Macaca fascicularis: one gene and its partner. The protein of the gene in region 1 interacts with the protein of each later gene in a pairwise test. Links are inferred from orthologs where the notes say so. Each region holds a gene or a part of one and is shown on either strand. Other genes may lie near its edges. The genes, in order: PEX16 and PEX3.

Region 1 (8,171 bases):
TCTCTAGCCTAAAGTTGGGGTGGCGGAACGTGATTCCCTCTCCAGGACCCTCAACAGAGACTGTTTGTGGCGGTTGAACATGTGGGACCAGGCCAGGGATCCCAGCACTTTGGAAGGCCAAGGCGGGTGAATTGCTTGAGACCAGGAATTCGAGACTAGCCTGGTCAATGTGGCCAAACTCTATGTCTACAAAAAAATACAAAAATTAGCTGGGTGTGGTGGCATGCGCCTACTACTTGGGAGGCTGAGGTAGGAGGATTACCTGAACCCAGGAGGTCATGGCTGCTGTGAGCCATAATCATACTGCTGCACTCCAGCCTGGGTGACAGAGACCTTGTCTCTAAATACAAACAAACAAACACCATGTGGGACCAGGTAGAGCACACACACAGTTGGGGGCTGGCCCAGGATTCGTCTTCAGTAAAGGGGCCGGGGGAGTCAGTGCAGGAAGCTGGGTCTGCAGATCTCACTGTGGTCACTCACAACGCTGGCCCTTCTTCTGGCTCAGCCTCACCACTCAGGGAAACTGAAGTGCTGAGATGCCTTCTAGGCCCCCAAGGGGTTGTTCTAGGGGCGTGGAGGGAGAAAGAGACAAGTATGGGCATATAAACGGTGCTGTTCCTCTTGGCCTAAGACCCATTTTGACCCAGCTCTGCCCAGGACTTTGCTGTATGACCTTAGACCAGTGAGGCTCCCTCTCTGGGCCTCTGGTACTCTCATCTGTACATGTTGGACTGGTCTACCTCTCTTCCCCTGTGACTTGGGGCAAATTGAAGGAGATATGATACAGCTCAACCTGCCCCAAAATCCTTCCAGCCCAACAAGACGGCCAAGTCCAGGCAGGGGGCCAGGGAGCAGGGGAGGGCCACCCTAGGAGCCTCCTGCACACACGGCAACTCTTTGTCTCTGGGGCCTAATCAGGCCTGGGATCTAGAGAGGAAATTCAGGCAGACCTGCTGCTGCCAACCTGGCTGGGCCCATGCTCCCCCTCCCAGTTCTGGAGGGAGGGAGGAGACACTGGTTCCAGCCCAAGCCCCTACCTATTCTGTCCTGGGGAGTCGGCCCCTCTCCCCTCCACACCTTGCTCTCCTCAGAAACAGGACCTCCAGCCCAAGGAGTGCTGAAGAACCTCAAATTCTCCCTCCACACCCTCTCCACAGCTGCAGAGGGAGGGCCGGAAGAGTGGCCAACCTGGAGGTTTGAGGAACAAGTTCATTAAGATGTTGGAGCATGGTGGCTCATACCTAGCACTTTGGGAGGCTGAGGCAGGCAGATCACCTGAGGTCAGAAGTTCGAGACCAGCCTGGCCAACATGGTGAAACTTCATCTCTACTAAAAATACAAAAATTAGTTGGGCGTGGTGGCGGGCGCCTGTAGGCCCAGCTAATTGGGAGGCTGAGGCAGGAGAATCGCTTGAACCTGGGAGGCAGAGGTTGCAGTGAGCTGAGATTGCACCATTGCACTCCAGCTGGGCGACAGAGTGAGACTCCGTCTCAAAAACAACCAAACAAACAAAAAACAAGGTGGGGCAGAGGAAAGGAGAAGGAGCGTCACCTTGAGGGCCCCAAGCCTAGGTCCTAATCCCAGTTGCTAACTGGCCTCATGACCAAGGAGCCTCAACATGTCACAGTTCTTGTGGGCTGTGGGCAGTAGGAGAGAGGTCACTGCCACTGGAGACCTGCGTTGTGGCCCGTTTGGCCAGTGCCTTGCTGTGCCATGTGGGACAAATCCTTTCCCCTCCTTATTGGCCTCTAATTTCCCATCTGTGAACAGTTCATGGCAACTTGGGGTTGCTGGGAGGAGGGTAAGCAAGCCTGGCACAGAGGGTGGCCAGAAATGATGTCGACAATGCCCATGACCACCTCCTCCCTGGTCACCTTTCCCTGCGTCGTCGTTCTTTGATGTGAGTAGAGGGCAGCTCTAATCCCCCACCTGATAGAGAAGAAAACTAAGCTATGGAGTAGGGTGGGGTGAGGCAGTGGAAGGAAGGCTGTGGTTTCCTGGTGAGGTGTAATGCTTAGACCTGGTCTCTAAAAAGAAAATTAAAGTTAAAAAAAAAAAAAAAAATGAATAAAAAGAAACCGCCTAGTCTCTGAGGTCAGAAAAGACCAGCACTCAAATTTTGGCTGGGCGTTCTTAAACGGATGCTTTCTTCATCTGGTGATATCTGGTGGAGAGGATTAGATAAAATAATGCATTACTGCCGGGCGCGGTGGCTCAAGCCTATAATCCCAGCACTTTGGGAGGCCGAGACGGGCGGATCACGAGGTCAGCAGATCGAGACCATCCTGCTCAAGCCTGTAATCCCAGCACTTTGGGAGGCCGAGATGGGCGGATCACGAGGTCAGGAGATCGAGACCATCCTGGCTAACACGGTGAAACCCCGTCTCTACTAAGAAATACAAAAAATAGCCGGGCGAGGTGGCAGCGCCTGTAGTCCCAGCTACTCGGGAGGCTGAGGCCGGAGAATGGCGTGAACCCGGGAGGCGGAGCTTGCAGTGAGCTGAGATCCGGCCACTGCACTCCAGCCTGGGCTACAGAGCGAGACTCCGTCTCCAAAAAAACAAACAAACAAACAAACAAACAAACAAACAAAACAAAACTAGCCGGGCGAGGTGGCGGGCCCCTGTAGTCCAGCTACACGGGAGGCTGAGGCAGGAGAATGGCGTAAACCCGGGAGGCGGAGCTTGCAGTGAGCTGAGATCTGGCCACTGCACTCCAGCCTGGGCGACAGAGCGAGACTCCGTCTCAAAAAAAACAAAACAAAACAAACAAACAAAAAGCATTACTATTACTATTCTCAGGGTACCATAAATCCGCTGGCCCACTGCTTCACCCTTGCCACGCCCCTTTCCCCGCAGCCAATCAGCGGCTGCCCCCCCAGAGCGCCGGTCCCCTCCACCACTCGCCGCAGCTCTCCCGATGCCACCCGTTCCAGGGAGGCTGCTTGGTTTGGGAAGGTATTCCGCAGGAGTCGCCCCCTCCCTTGGGGCGCAGCTGAGGACTGCGAGGTGCGTCCGAGGGCCGAAAAGCTGAGATCGATTCTGAGTTCAAGGATCAAGTCTGCCCTCAAACCATTTTACAGATCGGGAAATCCGAGACCCAGAGAAGGGACACTCCCGCCCAAGGGCCCCCTAGCCGAGAGAAGCCCGGGCCAGGGCTTTCTTCGCGTATGTGGGAATGCAGGCGCGCGCCCGTGGGGGGCACAGTGCATACGGGAGCTGGGGCCGAAACCCAGCACTAACTGTGCTGTCTAGGGGATCCAGACGGCACTAGGGGGCTGGACTCCTTACTGCCTGAGTTTCCCCAGCACTACCTTTGTTGAGGAAACGGAGATGGGGATACTGGCCGAACGCGCGCCTTCTGAGACACAGTCCGACTGCATTTAGACGCCCGCATCTCTCCGAATCTGATCGAGGCTCCTTTTTTCAAGAACCCGCTATCTCCCAGCCCTTTAAAGTCCGGCCCTGCCGTTCGAGTCTCTCGGCGTTCCATTGGAAAGACTCGGCGCTCCAGCTCCCTTCTCTAGAATGAACTGCTCTGACTGCCGCCCAGCTGTCCCGGAGTGTTAACTGCGCAGGCGCAAAGGCAGCCAACCCAGTAAACGGAAGAGCTGGGTGCCGATCACACTGGGCGGGTCAGGGGCGGTGAGCGTGCTAACCAATGACTTGAGGGAGTAGGGGGCCGGGTTTGGGCCCTCAGTTGCTAAGCGCTACCCGAATGGGAAGTGGTTCAAGAGATGGGGTGAAGGGTGGTTCACCGGCTCTTCAAGTCACCAGCCTTCTGGCCCGCGGAAGTTAAGCAACCCAGAGGTGGGCCTAAGACCGGAAGCAGGAAGGAGGGCGCAGGAAGCAGGGCGCCGCAGCCTGGCGTACAGTCCTTCCGTGGATCTGTTGGTGCCGAGGGCAGGATGGAGAAGCTGCGGCTCCTGGGCCTCCGCTACCAGGAGTACGTGACTCGTCACCCGGCCGCCACGGCCCAGCTGGAGACGGCAGTGCGGGGCCTCAGTTACCTGCTGGCAGGTGCCACCTTGACCTTTGATCCGTTCCTTCTGGGCCCTGACCTATGACCCCAGTGGCCCCCTTCCCTGCGGAGTCAGGGTAGTGATCGCTGTGCTTGAGAAGACCCATCCAGGTTCCCAAAGGGCGTAGGGAGGGGACGTCCGGGACCTGAAGACTAAATGTAAGGCAGATGCTCACTCACACCTCCCTCTGTACCCTCTCCCCAGGTCGATTCGCCGATTCGCACGAGCTGTCAGAGCTGGGTGAGCCGGGCTCTGGGGGTGGGGGATGGGGGATCGGCTGCCTGGCCCCAGGTGAGTTCCCCAGAGCGGGTGAACACCCCAACCCGAGGTCCTGGACTGCCCGTTAGACTCCTTGTGCTATGACTGAATCGGAACAAGGTCTGTTGTTCACTGTCCTGGGCCTTCCATGTCCCTAAGTCAAGAGACAGCCTGGGGACCTTATCTGAGTATTCACTACTGGCCAGGAGCTGGGCTAAGTACCTTTCTTACCTTTACTTGTTAATCCTCCCTACAGTCATATTAAGTGGAACTGTTATTGTCCTCACTGTCCATTTAAGGAAGAAGTTCAGTGAGGTTAGAGAACACTTACTGATGGTCCCAGAACAAAGATTCGAGTCTAGATCTCCCAGATTCCAGGATTCGCAGATGGTAACTACCTCAAGAGTGTTTGTCCAGTGACTGCTGTCACAGTCCTGAAAGAATGAAGTGGGTTTTGAAAAGCAGAGGTGAGGCCAGGTGCAGTGGCTCACGCCTGTAATCCCAGCCACTTTGGGAGGCAGAGGCGGGTGGATCGCCTGAGGTCAGGAGTTTGAGACCAGCCTGGCCAACATGGTGAAACACCGTCTCTACTAAAAATACAAAAATTAGCTGGGCATGGTGGCAGGTGCCTGTAGTCCCAGCTACTTGAGAGGCTGAGGCAGGAGAATTGCTTGAACCCAGGAGGCAGAGGTTGCAGTGAGCCGAGATTGTGCCGTTGCACTCCAGCCTGGGCAACAAGAGCAAAACTCTGACTCAAAAAAAAAGAAAGAAAGAAAAAGGAAAAGTGGGCCGGGCGCGGTGGCTCAAGCCTGTAATCCCAGCACTTTGGGAGGCCGAGACGGGTGGATCACGAGGTCAGGAGATCGAGACCATCCTGGCTAACACTGAAACCCCGTCTCCACTAAAAAATACAAAAAACTAGCCAGGCGAGGTGGCAGGCGCCTGTAGTCCCAGCTACTCGGGAGGCTGAGGCAGGAGAATGGCGTAAACCCGGGAGGTGGAGCTTGCAGTGAGCTGAGATCTGGCCACTGCACTCCAGCCTGGGCGACAGAGCGAGACTCCGTCTCAAAAAAAAAAAAAAAAAAAAAAGAAAAAGGAAAAGTGGAGGTGGAATAGACCCTCAGGGACAGGCTGCCGAGAGAAAAAAGGCCAGGAGGAAGGACCGCATATCTGTGGCAGTTCAGAGAGCAATGGGCAGTTGTGGGCAGCTGGATGACCAGTGCCATCCGACAGGGCAGTAGCTGGCTTGTCACTGAGATTGACCCATCCTTTCTTGGTCCAACCACCCTTGTGAGATCATGTTGGGGAGAGGGGAGTGCTGAGGAAGTGGGTGGAGAGGCAGGCTGGTTTCCACATAGTCTGTGGGTGTCTGAGCAGAGCAGGTGACATGTGATCCCTGCAGCTCTGGGCAGAAGGTGAGAGGGATGGAGGTTGCAGAGCCAGCCTCTCAAGGCCACACTCTACCCCTCAGTGTACTCCGCCTCTAACCTGCTTGTGCTGCTCAATGACGGGATCCTACGGAAGGAGCTTCGGAAAAAGTTGCCTGTGGTGAGAATTCTGCCAGGAACAGGGTGGGAAGCATGGGGACTCAGGAATGAAATAGTAGCAGCTAGCCCATGCATGCAGCACGTGTCTCATGGAGTATGAGACAGGCCTATGTCCATCTGAGCCTCAACCATCTCATTAGGTGAGCTGTAAAGTGTGAGTATTCCATCTTAGATGAAGAGACTGTCTCAGATGAAGAGAGGTAGAGTCAGCTGTTTCAGGTCCCCCAGCCTGTTAGTGGTGGAGTTGGTGTTTGAACTCACACCTGCACAGTTAGTCTTGGAAAGGGGCAAGTCCACATCTCTTGTCAGAGAAGCTCCCTCCTAGGAGAAGGGCCTGGGACAACAGGCAGCCCCCTGACTTCTTGGCCTGGGGTTCTTGCAGTCGCTGTCCCAGCAGAAGCTGCTGACATGGCTGAGCGTGCTGGAGTGCGTGGAGGTGTTCATGGAGATGGGAGCTGCCAAAGTGTGGGGCGAAGTGGGCCGCTGGCTTGTCATCGCCCTCATCCAACTGGCCAAGTAGGTTGGGATTGTGGAGGGGGTCCTGGGTCGGGGTGACGCAGGCCAACTACACAGATGGTGCTCAGCAGAGCATCCCTGACCTCCCGCCGGCTAGCCACCTCCCCACAGCCCTGACATACTCCCCGACCCAGGGCTGTACTGCGGATGCTCCTGCTGCTCTGGTTCAAGGCTGGCCTCCAGACCTCACCCCCCATCGTTCCACTGGACAGAGAGACCCAGGCACAGCCCCCGGGTGAGCTACTTCCCCAAGCCCTAGAGTGGAATGGGCTGTGGGACTAACTTGAGGATTTAGATCCAACCAGCATGAATACAGTAGTATCTGTTTTTGGAGCACACCTGACCCCACCACCTCTGTTCTCATTGCCCTGTATTCGATGAAGAAGACAGTGATGCGGCTAGGGACAAAATCAGAACACAAACCCAGTACTTGTCATGGCCAGAGTCATTCATTTTTGTGGCCTGCAGGAAGAGGGAACAGATGGGATGCTGCCAACCTTGCCTCTGGGCCTGGTTCTGTGTCCAGAGCCACAGCCTGTAGAGGCAGAAGGCAGGGAACCTGCCACATCTGTCCCTTCAGGGCTTTGAGCCCATCCTGTCAGCTTCTGGGCTTCACTCTCTGGACATTGAGTGGGGGCAGTTCATTGCCTCTCATCATGATTGTTTTGAAGGCAAAGGCTTGAGAGGAGACAGCCCCTCTGGTGCTGTGGTCCCCATAGATGTGGTCAGGCTGGGCCCTCCCTGCCTTGCTTGTCCATGGGTTCCAGGAGGCTGGTTCTGGCCACAGCTATGCTGAGCTTTCCCCAGGCCAGGGAGGGCTGCAGAGTGCTTTCCTCTGTGGACAGGTCTCGTGCTGAGCCACCACCCCAGTTGTAGTTCCCTTGACTCAGCTGTTGCCATAGTAGAAGCTCATCTGTTCTCCCCTTAGCCCCTGAGCATTCACTGCATGCATGTTCTTTGCAGGCTCCGCTGGAAGCATGTCCCTCTGACTGTATGGCCTTCTGTCTATCCCTGCTAGATGGTGACCACAGCCATGGCAGCCATGAGCAGTCCTACGTGGGGAAGCGGTCAAACCGGGTGGTGCGAACCCTCCAGAACAGTAAGTGGAGGATGTGGCTGGCCTGGGCACCTAGGTGCTGTGTCTGCCTGGGCCTGAGGGACTGGCTTTGGTCAGCAGCCACCTTCCCCTGCCCCAGCCCGGGCCTGGCTCGCTTATCTGCTGCCCTTGTGTTCTAGCGCCGTCCCTGCACTCCAGGCACTGGGGAGCTCCCCAGCAGCGGGAGGGATGGCAGCAGCAGCACCACGAGGAGCTGAGTGCGACCCCCACCCCCCTGGGGCTGCAGGAGACCATCGCAGAGTTTTTGTACATTGCCCGGCCGCTGCTGCACTGTATCCTTAGCGCGGGGCAGGATAGGGCTGGCACTGTGGGCTGGGGATTGAGTGGGGGGTGCGCCGAGCAAGGTCCCTGTGCTGGAGACATCCTTGACGCCTTGGCCGTCAGTGCTCAGCCTGGGGCTGTGGGGTCAGAGGTCGTGGAAACCCTGGCTCTTGGCTGGTGTTGTGGATGTGACCAGGTGAGCCTGGGCCCGCCCGGGGCTCCACTCTCCTGGGCTTTCTGCTACAATCCCGGCCTCACGTAGGCGGGGCAGTAGCAGCCCCTGCTCCTCCTGTTGCTGCCCTTCTGGACACCCAGCCCATGGCTCCTCCCCTTCCGTGGGCCTAGATCATGCCCCTGGCCCTGACCATGTCCTACCTGCCTCCCAGCCTGAGCCTCCTGAGTGACAGAAAGGGCCTGACCCGGAGGGAACGGCGGGAGCTGCGGCGCC
Region 2 (8,067 bases), on another chromosome or scaffold:
TCCTGATCTTAGACTTCTAAACTTCAGGATTGTAAGATAATAAATTTCGGTTGCTTAAGCCACTCATTTTGTGGTACTTTGAAATGAGGCTACAATCACACAATCCATTATTTTTCTTGAGTTTAGCACTGAACTAAGTTCTTATACAAGGTCTAATTCACCTAGGCTCATAAATTCTGATTTTGTCAGATTTGTTCCCCTAGAAAAATAAGAATGAGGACAGGTAATTCATTAGCTAAAACATGGCACTCATGACTATTTACATACTTGACTGACAGTCTAGCCTGGAAAACAGGAGATATTGACGGCTCTGGTATCAAATAGTTAGGTGACTTTTGAGAAAGTCCCTTCCTCCCTCTGTGTCTAAATTTCTTCATTCATAAAATGAAAGACTGGGATTATATGAGCTTTAATGTTTCTTTTGTAGCTATGATTTTACATATTAACAATGAAAATATTTACTAAATACCTTAAAAAATAAATGTCAAATGCTTTGAGTTTTCCTTTAATAACATTACTAGTAAAATAAGACTTCTAGTCTTTCCACAAGTCAGTTGTTTTAAAACCATCTCGTAGTATTCTCTTTCTGGATGAAAATCCCTACAATGCAACTATTTCACAAGGTTAATAATTTCAAAAAGAGTTTGAAAATAACCTATTAACATTGTTCCCAATCTAACAGATCACCAAATCCTACTACAGTATTCTGATTCTATTTCAGACATATTTTCTAAATCTTGCCAATTATCTACAACTTCTTTATCAGTGTCTTCACTTAGACCGTAAAAATTAATGCTCTTGAACTGCTTCAATAGTTCCCTAACTCTTCAGTTTCTGGTCACACACCTGTTTAGCCCATCTTATACATGCAAAGTGATTTTTTTAAAACATAAATCTGATTATATCACTCATGCTTTTAGAATCCTTCAGCATCTTGCCATCATTTCTTAATGTGGTTTTCCTGTTCCACTCACATCAGAATTACTTGGGACAATTTAAAATGTAGCCTTAAAGGACACTTTTTGAAAATACCCCCAAATGTCTTATTTTGCATGATGCTGCACCCCCAGTACATAAACTCTGACTGGGATTCAGTCAGAATTCAATAAATATTTGCTGAATTAAGGAATTCTTGAACTGCATTCTAAACCTAAAGAATCAGAATCTGGAATAAAGGATCCTACGTTTTATTAAACTCCTTAAGTGATTTTTTAAATCCATACTAAACTCCAGGAAGCACCAATACAAAGGATAATATCCAAATTATGTAGAATGGCTTCATAAGGCCCTTCACAATCTGTACTCTAGTTGCTTTTCCAAGTTAATCTTTTGCCACTTCTCATTTGCACAGCCATAGTGAAATATAGTTTCATCCATAAAAGCAATGTTGCTGAACCTCTTGAATAGCTCTTTTTCTTGCTGTGTCCTTTCTCCTTTGCTAGTTTTAAAACTTAAGTAGAAATTCTTCCTTATGAAGCTTTGCCTGACATCTTCACACTTTCTTCTCCTCTATGCTCCCACAAGACCCTGCTCTATTTTCATACTATACTATCATACTACTTTTGTTTATTTCCATTTCTGTGCCATGAGTTCCAAGTCAGGATCAGTCTTATTCCTTTGTATTTCCAGAGTAAAGTACAGTGAGAACAGGCACTTACTCTCATTCAAATGTTTGTTCAATGACAGAATGAATGAATGAATAAACGAATAAAAAATGTGAAGAGGCCAGAGATTACAGGATTTAAGGTATAAATCCAAGTCAATATTCTGAGTTTTTTAGAAACCAGCAAGTCAATAAATATGAATCTGGTTGCTCTCTGTTTTCCAATACTTTTTCCAGTGCAATGGTTCTCAAAGTGTGGCAAGGGCACCCCTGGGGTCTTTAAGACCATTTCAGGGGGTCTATAAAATCAAAACTGTTTTTGTAATAATACTAAAATGTTATTTGCCTTTTTCATTCTCGTTCTCTCTCATACTCATACTCTCTCATGAGTATACAGTGGAGTAATTCAGAGGTTACATGCTGTGTGATATCACAACTGACAGAATATAGAAAGAGATGAGAATCTAGCTTTCTTCAATTAAGTCAAACATTAAAAAGATTTTCAAAATGTAAAACAATGACACTCATTAATTTTTTGAAAATGTTATTTATGTTAATATGTAATAGGTTTTTAAAAAATGAATTAATATTTAAATTTTCATTTTCATTTTGAATATCATAACTATTAATAGATATAAAATTTAGAAAGCTTTTGAGGGTCCTTAATTTTCCAGAGTATAAAGGAGACCTTAGACCAAAAAGTTTGGGAGTCAATTCTCTAGCCTTTTCACAAACTGGTCAAATTATGCCAGGCTCAGTGGCTCAGGCCTGTAATTCCAGCGCTTTAGGAGGCTGAGGCAGGACGACTGCTTGAAGCCTGGAGTTCAAGACCAGTCTGAGCAATGTAGTGAGACCCCCATCTCTACAAAGTAATTAAAAATTAGCCAAGCCTGATGGTGCACACCTGTAGTCCTAGCTACTTGGGAGGCTGAGGTGAGAGGATCACATGAGTGAGGAAAGTGTGAAGGTGTCAGGCAAATCTTCATAAGGAAGCTTTCTACTTGCCTTACATTGTAAAGCTAGCAAAGGAGAAATCAAGGCTGTAGTGAGCTATGATCACACCACTGTATTTTAGCTTGGGTAAAGAGCAAGACCCTGTCTGAAAAAAAAAAAAAAAAAACAAAAACAAAAACCGAACACACCCAAACACCCAAAACTGGTCAAATTATACAAACTGGTGTAAACCAATTAGTTACCCATCTAAAATTCAAGGAAACAGAAATTGTTACTTAAGAAGGCCTGCTACTGAAGGTTTTACTTACTTATTTCCCCCACGATTGAATGACCAAACTTCTCCAAGCATCCTGTTGATATACTGTCCAGCTTTCGAGCCTGTCAAAATGTGTCTCTTTTTCCATGAAATTCTTCCTGATTTTTCACAACTGTATATGCTACTTGCCAGTGTGATCTGTACAGCATTTTTTCACCTCTCTTGTTTTTCTGTATCTTAATTACATGTATACTTGCTTTTCCTTCCTATCAGACCATAAAGACCATGGAAGCACAGTGATATAATGTGGAAAGAGAATGTGCTTTGGGGTCCAACACACCTGGGTTTGAATTCCAGTTTCCCTTCACTAATTCTGAGACCTGAGGCAAGTTTCTTAAATTCTTAGGGCTCTTGTTGCCACATTTTTGAATGGGGATAATAATAACTGCCTTCTTGTCATTCTGCCTAAATAGGAAGAGCTTAGCACAATGCCCAGTGTAAAGTGGGCTCCCAATAAATAGTAGCTGTTACTATTAAAAATCTATAAATCTTGTATTTCCATACATATTACTTTCAGCACTACAGGTACTTGATAAATATTTCTTAAGTCAGATTAATTAAAATCTAACATACTGTAGAACTTTCTCCCTGAAGCAGAAAGAATACGAGGCTCAAACAAATGCCAACCATGGTCATCTACTCTTCCTTTCTTTTCAGACTGACTCCTTTATTGATATAAAACACTAGGATTATTTTCTCTTTCTATCCGTCTGAACTTTTCTTTTTTTGCATTCCTCTTATTCTGTAACTATAAGGCTCTTGTTAGATTTTTTTTTTTAATTATAAATTTCTTTTAAGTCTACTCTTTTGCTTCCCCTGTGATTATTTCTAATTTACCACAAGGTTGTTCCATAAGCTGAAGGAGTATTCCTTCTGAGATTGTTAGAGATAATTTTCCTTCCTTCGGTAAAGGCAAAAATACTTTATTTGTATTGCTTCAATCACACATCTATTTTTAGCTTTTATAAATAAAATGGACTCAGTAGTCTTAGGATAATTTAAATATACATTAGATACTAGAGAATGAAGATATCAGAAAATACCTTTTATATATAAAGGATTTCTCAAAGATGTTCAAAATTTACACGCTTATTATTGATCTGTGATAGATGTCAGAGGCATGCAAACACCATCCTTGGCTCAGCAACAAGAACTCTGTTTCAAACTTTGAAGCATCACCAAAATCTGAACTATTGATGCTAAGAGTATTGTTAATTGCAAATTGTTTGGGGAGAACAGAATACAATCTAATAAGTATTGTTAATTTCAAATTGTTTGGGGAGAACAGAATACAATCTAATATGTATTGTTAATTTCAAATTGTTTGGGGAGAACAGAATACAATCTAATACTAAGAGAAAAGCCAACCAAATTCTTTGGGAACCTCTGTTCTTTATTTTAAGTACTTCTGTAAACACAGCACATAATAAGTGATAAGAATATTTCTCAAAAACTCAAGTTACAACAAATTTCCTCTTTTAAAGTTCCTAGATGTTCTTTTCATATAATTCACAAAGCTTTTTATTCCCTCCTTCAAATCCCTGAATATTATCACATGAGCATTGTATGAGGGAAAAGGGTCTCAAGATTTTTATCTTATCTGTTTCTAAATCTCCTCTGGGCCCGTGCAACTCAGCTATGTCAGTTAGATTACAACGATCCCAACCTTGAAGATCCTGAGGAAGACTGCGCAACATCCCTCAAGCATTTTTCTTACTGCCACAGTTTGTATTCTAAAATGGCAGAAACAGAGCTAAAATATTGATTTGTTTTTCTTTATCTAATCCATCTCTTTCAGTCCTTCAGGACAACTGCGCTGTTTTCAAAAATTCAAATCGACTTTAACCACCACCTAGATTATTATTAAACTCCCTCCCCTAGATTATTATTAAACTCCTGAGAGTTTATTATTATTTATTTATTTATCATTTATTATTAAACCACCTCCCCTAGATTATTATTAAACTCCTGAGAAGGGTGAGAGCCATAGTGCCAAGAGTGCCAAGGAAAAATGAAGAATCTCACAGGAAAGCAGAATTTTTTTTAAAAAGTTCCTGTAACAGAAACTTAAACTGTACTGAATTCTCCAAAGGTCCGTGAGAAAAAAGGATAGGTGAGAAACAGTTAAGAGGCGGTGACAGGGCAAAGGGCACAGAGGCATTTCTCAACTGCAGAGATGGGAGAACCCTTGAGGTTGGCCACCTCCCTTTCCATCCCATGGTTGATCGAATCCCCTCTACAGATCCCAGACTAGGTTCGCCCCGGCCTGTTCTTATTTTAGAAAAAGTCACCTCTCCCACTCCCTTCTCCCAATGCCCCCTTTCAAGAACGTTGTCACCCACCTCCAAGGACCGTGCCCAGGAAGATGCATTTCTTTTTGTGGCGTTTCAGAAAATTCCATACGGACCTCAGCATCTTTAGGCCCTAGGGGTGTGCGCTGACTATGAGTGAGGGGCTGCTTCACCGGGAAACTGTTTCTTCGTCACCTGGCCCAGATGACCAAGCAAGAGCGCCGCCGTCCCGCTCTGCGCTCTCCCGAAATCACAAACGCGGCTTTCCGCAGACTGTCACCGGAGCGGCAAGGGGGCGTGGACTAGAGCAAAGCAGCTGCGCTTTCTGCGGCTGCCGCGGCGCAGCCGCCGCTGCTCACTGGTCCGACACGCCCAGGTCCGTTCAGAAATCGCTCCCGAGTGCCTTTCCATTCGACTCCCCCGGAAACGGGGGCCCGGGCCCGCCGCGTTCCGCTGCCCGCGCTCCTCCTCCGCGGCGGCCTTTGGCGCTGAGTGGTGGCCGGGTATGGAGGCGAAGGCGGCGCCCAAGTCAGCTGCAGGCGGCGCGTGCTCGGTGTCGGCAGAAGAGACCGAAAAGTGGATGGAGGAGGCAATGCACATGGTGAGGAGCCCGGGAGGTGAATGCTGCGGGGTGGGACCTTTCTCCAGCCCTCACCCCAACCACGGCATTTGAGCAAACGTTCTTTCTCGTCACCATAATTTTTATGGCAGTCAGATGTTCTGGGTGAACTACTGGCTTTACTGCCTCGAAACTTTCTGTAGCCCATTCTCACAGTGACTATGGGCGAAGGAAAGGGAGGAAATACAGAAATTATTTGTTTCATTGGGGTGGAGTATGCTGCAGACTTAGCATTCTGTCGCTGGCTGGCACGTGCTGCCTCCCTTTCCTTTCTGTGGTCACACTCTCCAATCTACAAAATCACATTATTTGAGGTTTTGGCCCCTGGACCATGTCCAGCAGAAGGAAGGAAACTGAGAACGTTTCTGGTAGAGAGCAGTATGGAAACAAATCCCTGTAGAATCGGTGTCTCGCATTCATTCATTCTTTCCTCTGCCCTTTTACGTCCTTCCCTCACTCCCTTCAGGTCTGCGGAGTAAAGGGGCCTTTCAACAGAATGGTGTGTGCTAGCGAGCTTCTTAACTGGGAAAATAGTTTGTTTGCAAACATGTATATTTACATTTTAATAACTGTACATACAGCCACGTGCCACATAATGACCTGTCTGTAAAGGTCGTTATCCTGGAGCATTAAATCTACTCACCTTAGCCCTATTGTCCCATCCAAGTACTAACCAGACCTGACCCTGCTCAGCGTCCGAGATTGGGGGACGTTCAGGGTGGTATGGAGGTAGACAACACTAGTCTCTATGTAGACTTCTGGGCTAAACCTTTTTGCCACCTTTTAGGTTGACCTTGGGCTAGCACAAGTAAATACATTTACATACGTTTACAAACAAACTGTTATCCCAGTTAAGAAGCTCGCTAGCACTTTTCAGCTCCGTTATAATCTATAGGACCACATATACAGCGGTGGTCCTATAGGATTATAACGGAGCTGAAAAGTTCCTATTGCCTAGTGACATGTAGCCCTCCTAACAAGTACTTTTTTCCCTTTAAGACCTTGAAGAAACATGTATATGCCAAAACCCAAGAAGCAGCTGCCTCCTTAGTCTTGTGTAGGAGGAGGTAAACTATGGAATCACATCCCTAGGTGTTTATAATACAATTGAGAGACAAAAATTTCAAAGCCAGAGAGGTCTAGAAATTCTTTGAAAACATCCACATGTTTAAAAAGATAAGATACAAAGTATCATGGCCAGATGCAGTGGCTTATGCCTATAATCCCAACACTTTGGAAGGCAGAAGCAAGAGGATCTCTTGATCTCAAAAGTTGAAGAACAGCCTGGGCAACATAGCGAGACCCTGTCACTACTAAACAAAAATTTAAAAATCAGTAGGGCATGGTGGCATGTGCCTGCAGTCCCAGCTACTCAGGAGGCTGAGGCAGGAGGATTGCTTCAGCCTTGGAGATTGAGGCTCTAGTGAGCCATGACTGTGCCACTATACTCCAACCTGGGAGACAGAACCAGACCCTGTCTCAAAAAAGAAAAAAAAGATACAAAGTAAAGGAAATCGCAGAGAAGGAAAATATTTGCAACATATATAAAAGGACAGGTTTAATAACCGTAACATAGAATTTATATAAAATCTAAGTACTTTCTGAGGTAAGAGGAAATATGTATACCCTAATACTGAAAAGGTCAAAGGATATGAATATATTTCTTTTTAAAATTTCCTTTTATTTTTAAAAGTGTTTTTTTGTTTAGACAGGGTCTCTCTGTGTTGCCCAAGCTGGTCTTGAACTCCTGGCCCCAGGCAATCGTCCCACTTCAGCCTCCCAAAGTGCTGGGATTACAGGTGTGGGTCACCACACCTCACCTGAACATGATATTTCTAAAAGAAGTGACGAGTAGCCAGCAAATGAATGAATACACAATTTCACTATTAATGAAATTCAAAGTAAAATGATACACAATTTTTCACCTGTTAAATTGGCAAACGTGAAAGCAATTTTAATGCTTGGTGATAATAAGGATGTGCATGTTTGAGGTGTTTGTTGGTTGGGAGGAACTGAATTTAGAACACCCTTTTATTAGGACAATTTGGCTAGGTAGATATAAAAGGCCTTAAAAGTGAGCTTATCCTTTGATCCATTAATGCCCCCCCTTTTTTTTTTCCCAAAGTGAAAATATTTTAATGTTTTATTTTTCTGATTATGTAAATAATTCATGGGCATAAAAAATTCAAACTATAAAAAAGGGTTAACCAATTATGTAAAAATTACCTGACAGTCCTATCATTAGAGATAATACTATTAGTGTTTGGGAGCATCCTTCCATATC

Evidence for each region.
Region 2: the proteins of PEX16 (region 1) and PEX3 interact in binary tests that used the Homo sapiens proteins (3 or more experiments, as listed by UniProt). The link is inferred for Macaca fascicularis from reciprocal best matches to the Homo sapiens genes PEX16 and PEX3.

What each region holds. Positions count from the first base shown.
Region 1 is NC_088388.1:19,942,019-19,950,189, forward strand, and holds the start of PEX16 (peroxisomal biogenesis factor 16), read left to right. Parts: upstream 1-3,599; 5' UTR 3,600-3,910; coding exon 3,911-4,022; intron 4,023-4,228; coding exon 4,229-4,315; intron 4,316-4,581; exon of another isoform or gene 4,582-4,672; intron 4,673-5,753; coding exon 5,754-5,830; intron 5,831-6,211; coding exon 6,212-6,345; intron 6,346-6,479; coding exon 6,480-6,580; intron 6,581-7,363; coding exon 7,364-7,444; intron 7,445-7,581; coding exon 7,582-7,734; intron 7,735-7,846; coding exon 7,847-7,919; intron 7,920-8,109; coding exon 8,110-8,171. UniProt on the Homo sapiens protein: Required for peroxisome membrane biogenesis. May play a role in early stages of peroxisome assembly. Can recruit other peroxisomal proteins, such as PEX3 and PMP34, to de novo peroxisomes derived from the endoplasmic reticulum (ER).
Region 2 is NC_088378.1:47,654,240-47,662,306, reverse strand, and holds the start of PEX3 (peroxisomal biogenesis factor 3), read right to left. Parts: upstream 5,525-8,067; 5' UTR 5,289-5,524; coding exon 5,216-5,288; intron 1-5,215. Other genes in the region: ADAT2 (tRNA-specific adenosine deaminase 2), read left to right, coding at 5,670-5,765. UniProt on the Homo sapiens protein: Involved in peroxisome biosynthesis and integrity. Assembles membrane vesicles before the matrix proteins are translocated. As a docking factor for PEX19, is necessary for the import of peroxisomal membrane proteins in the peroxisomes.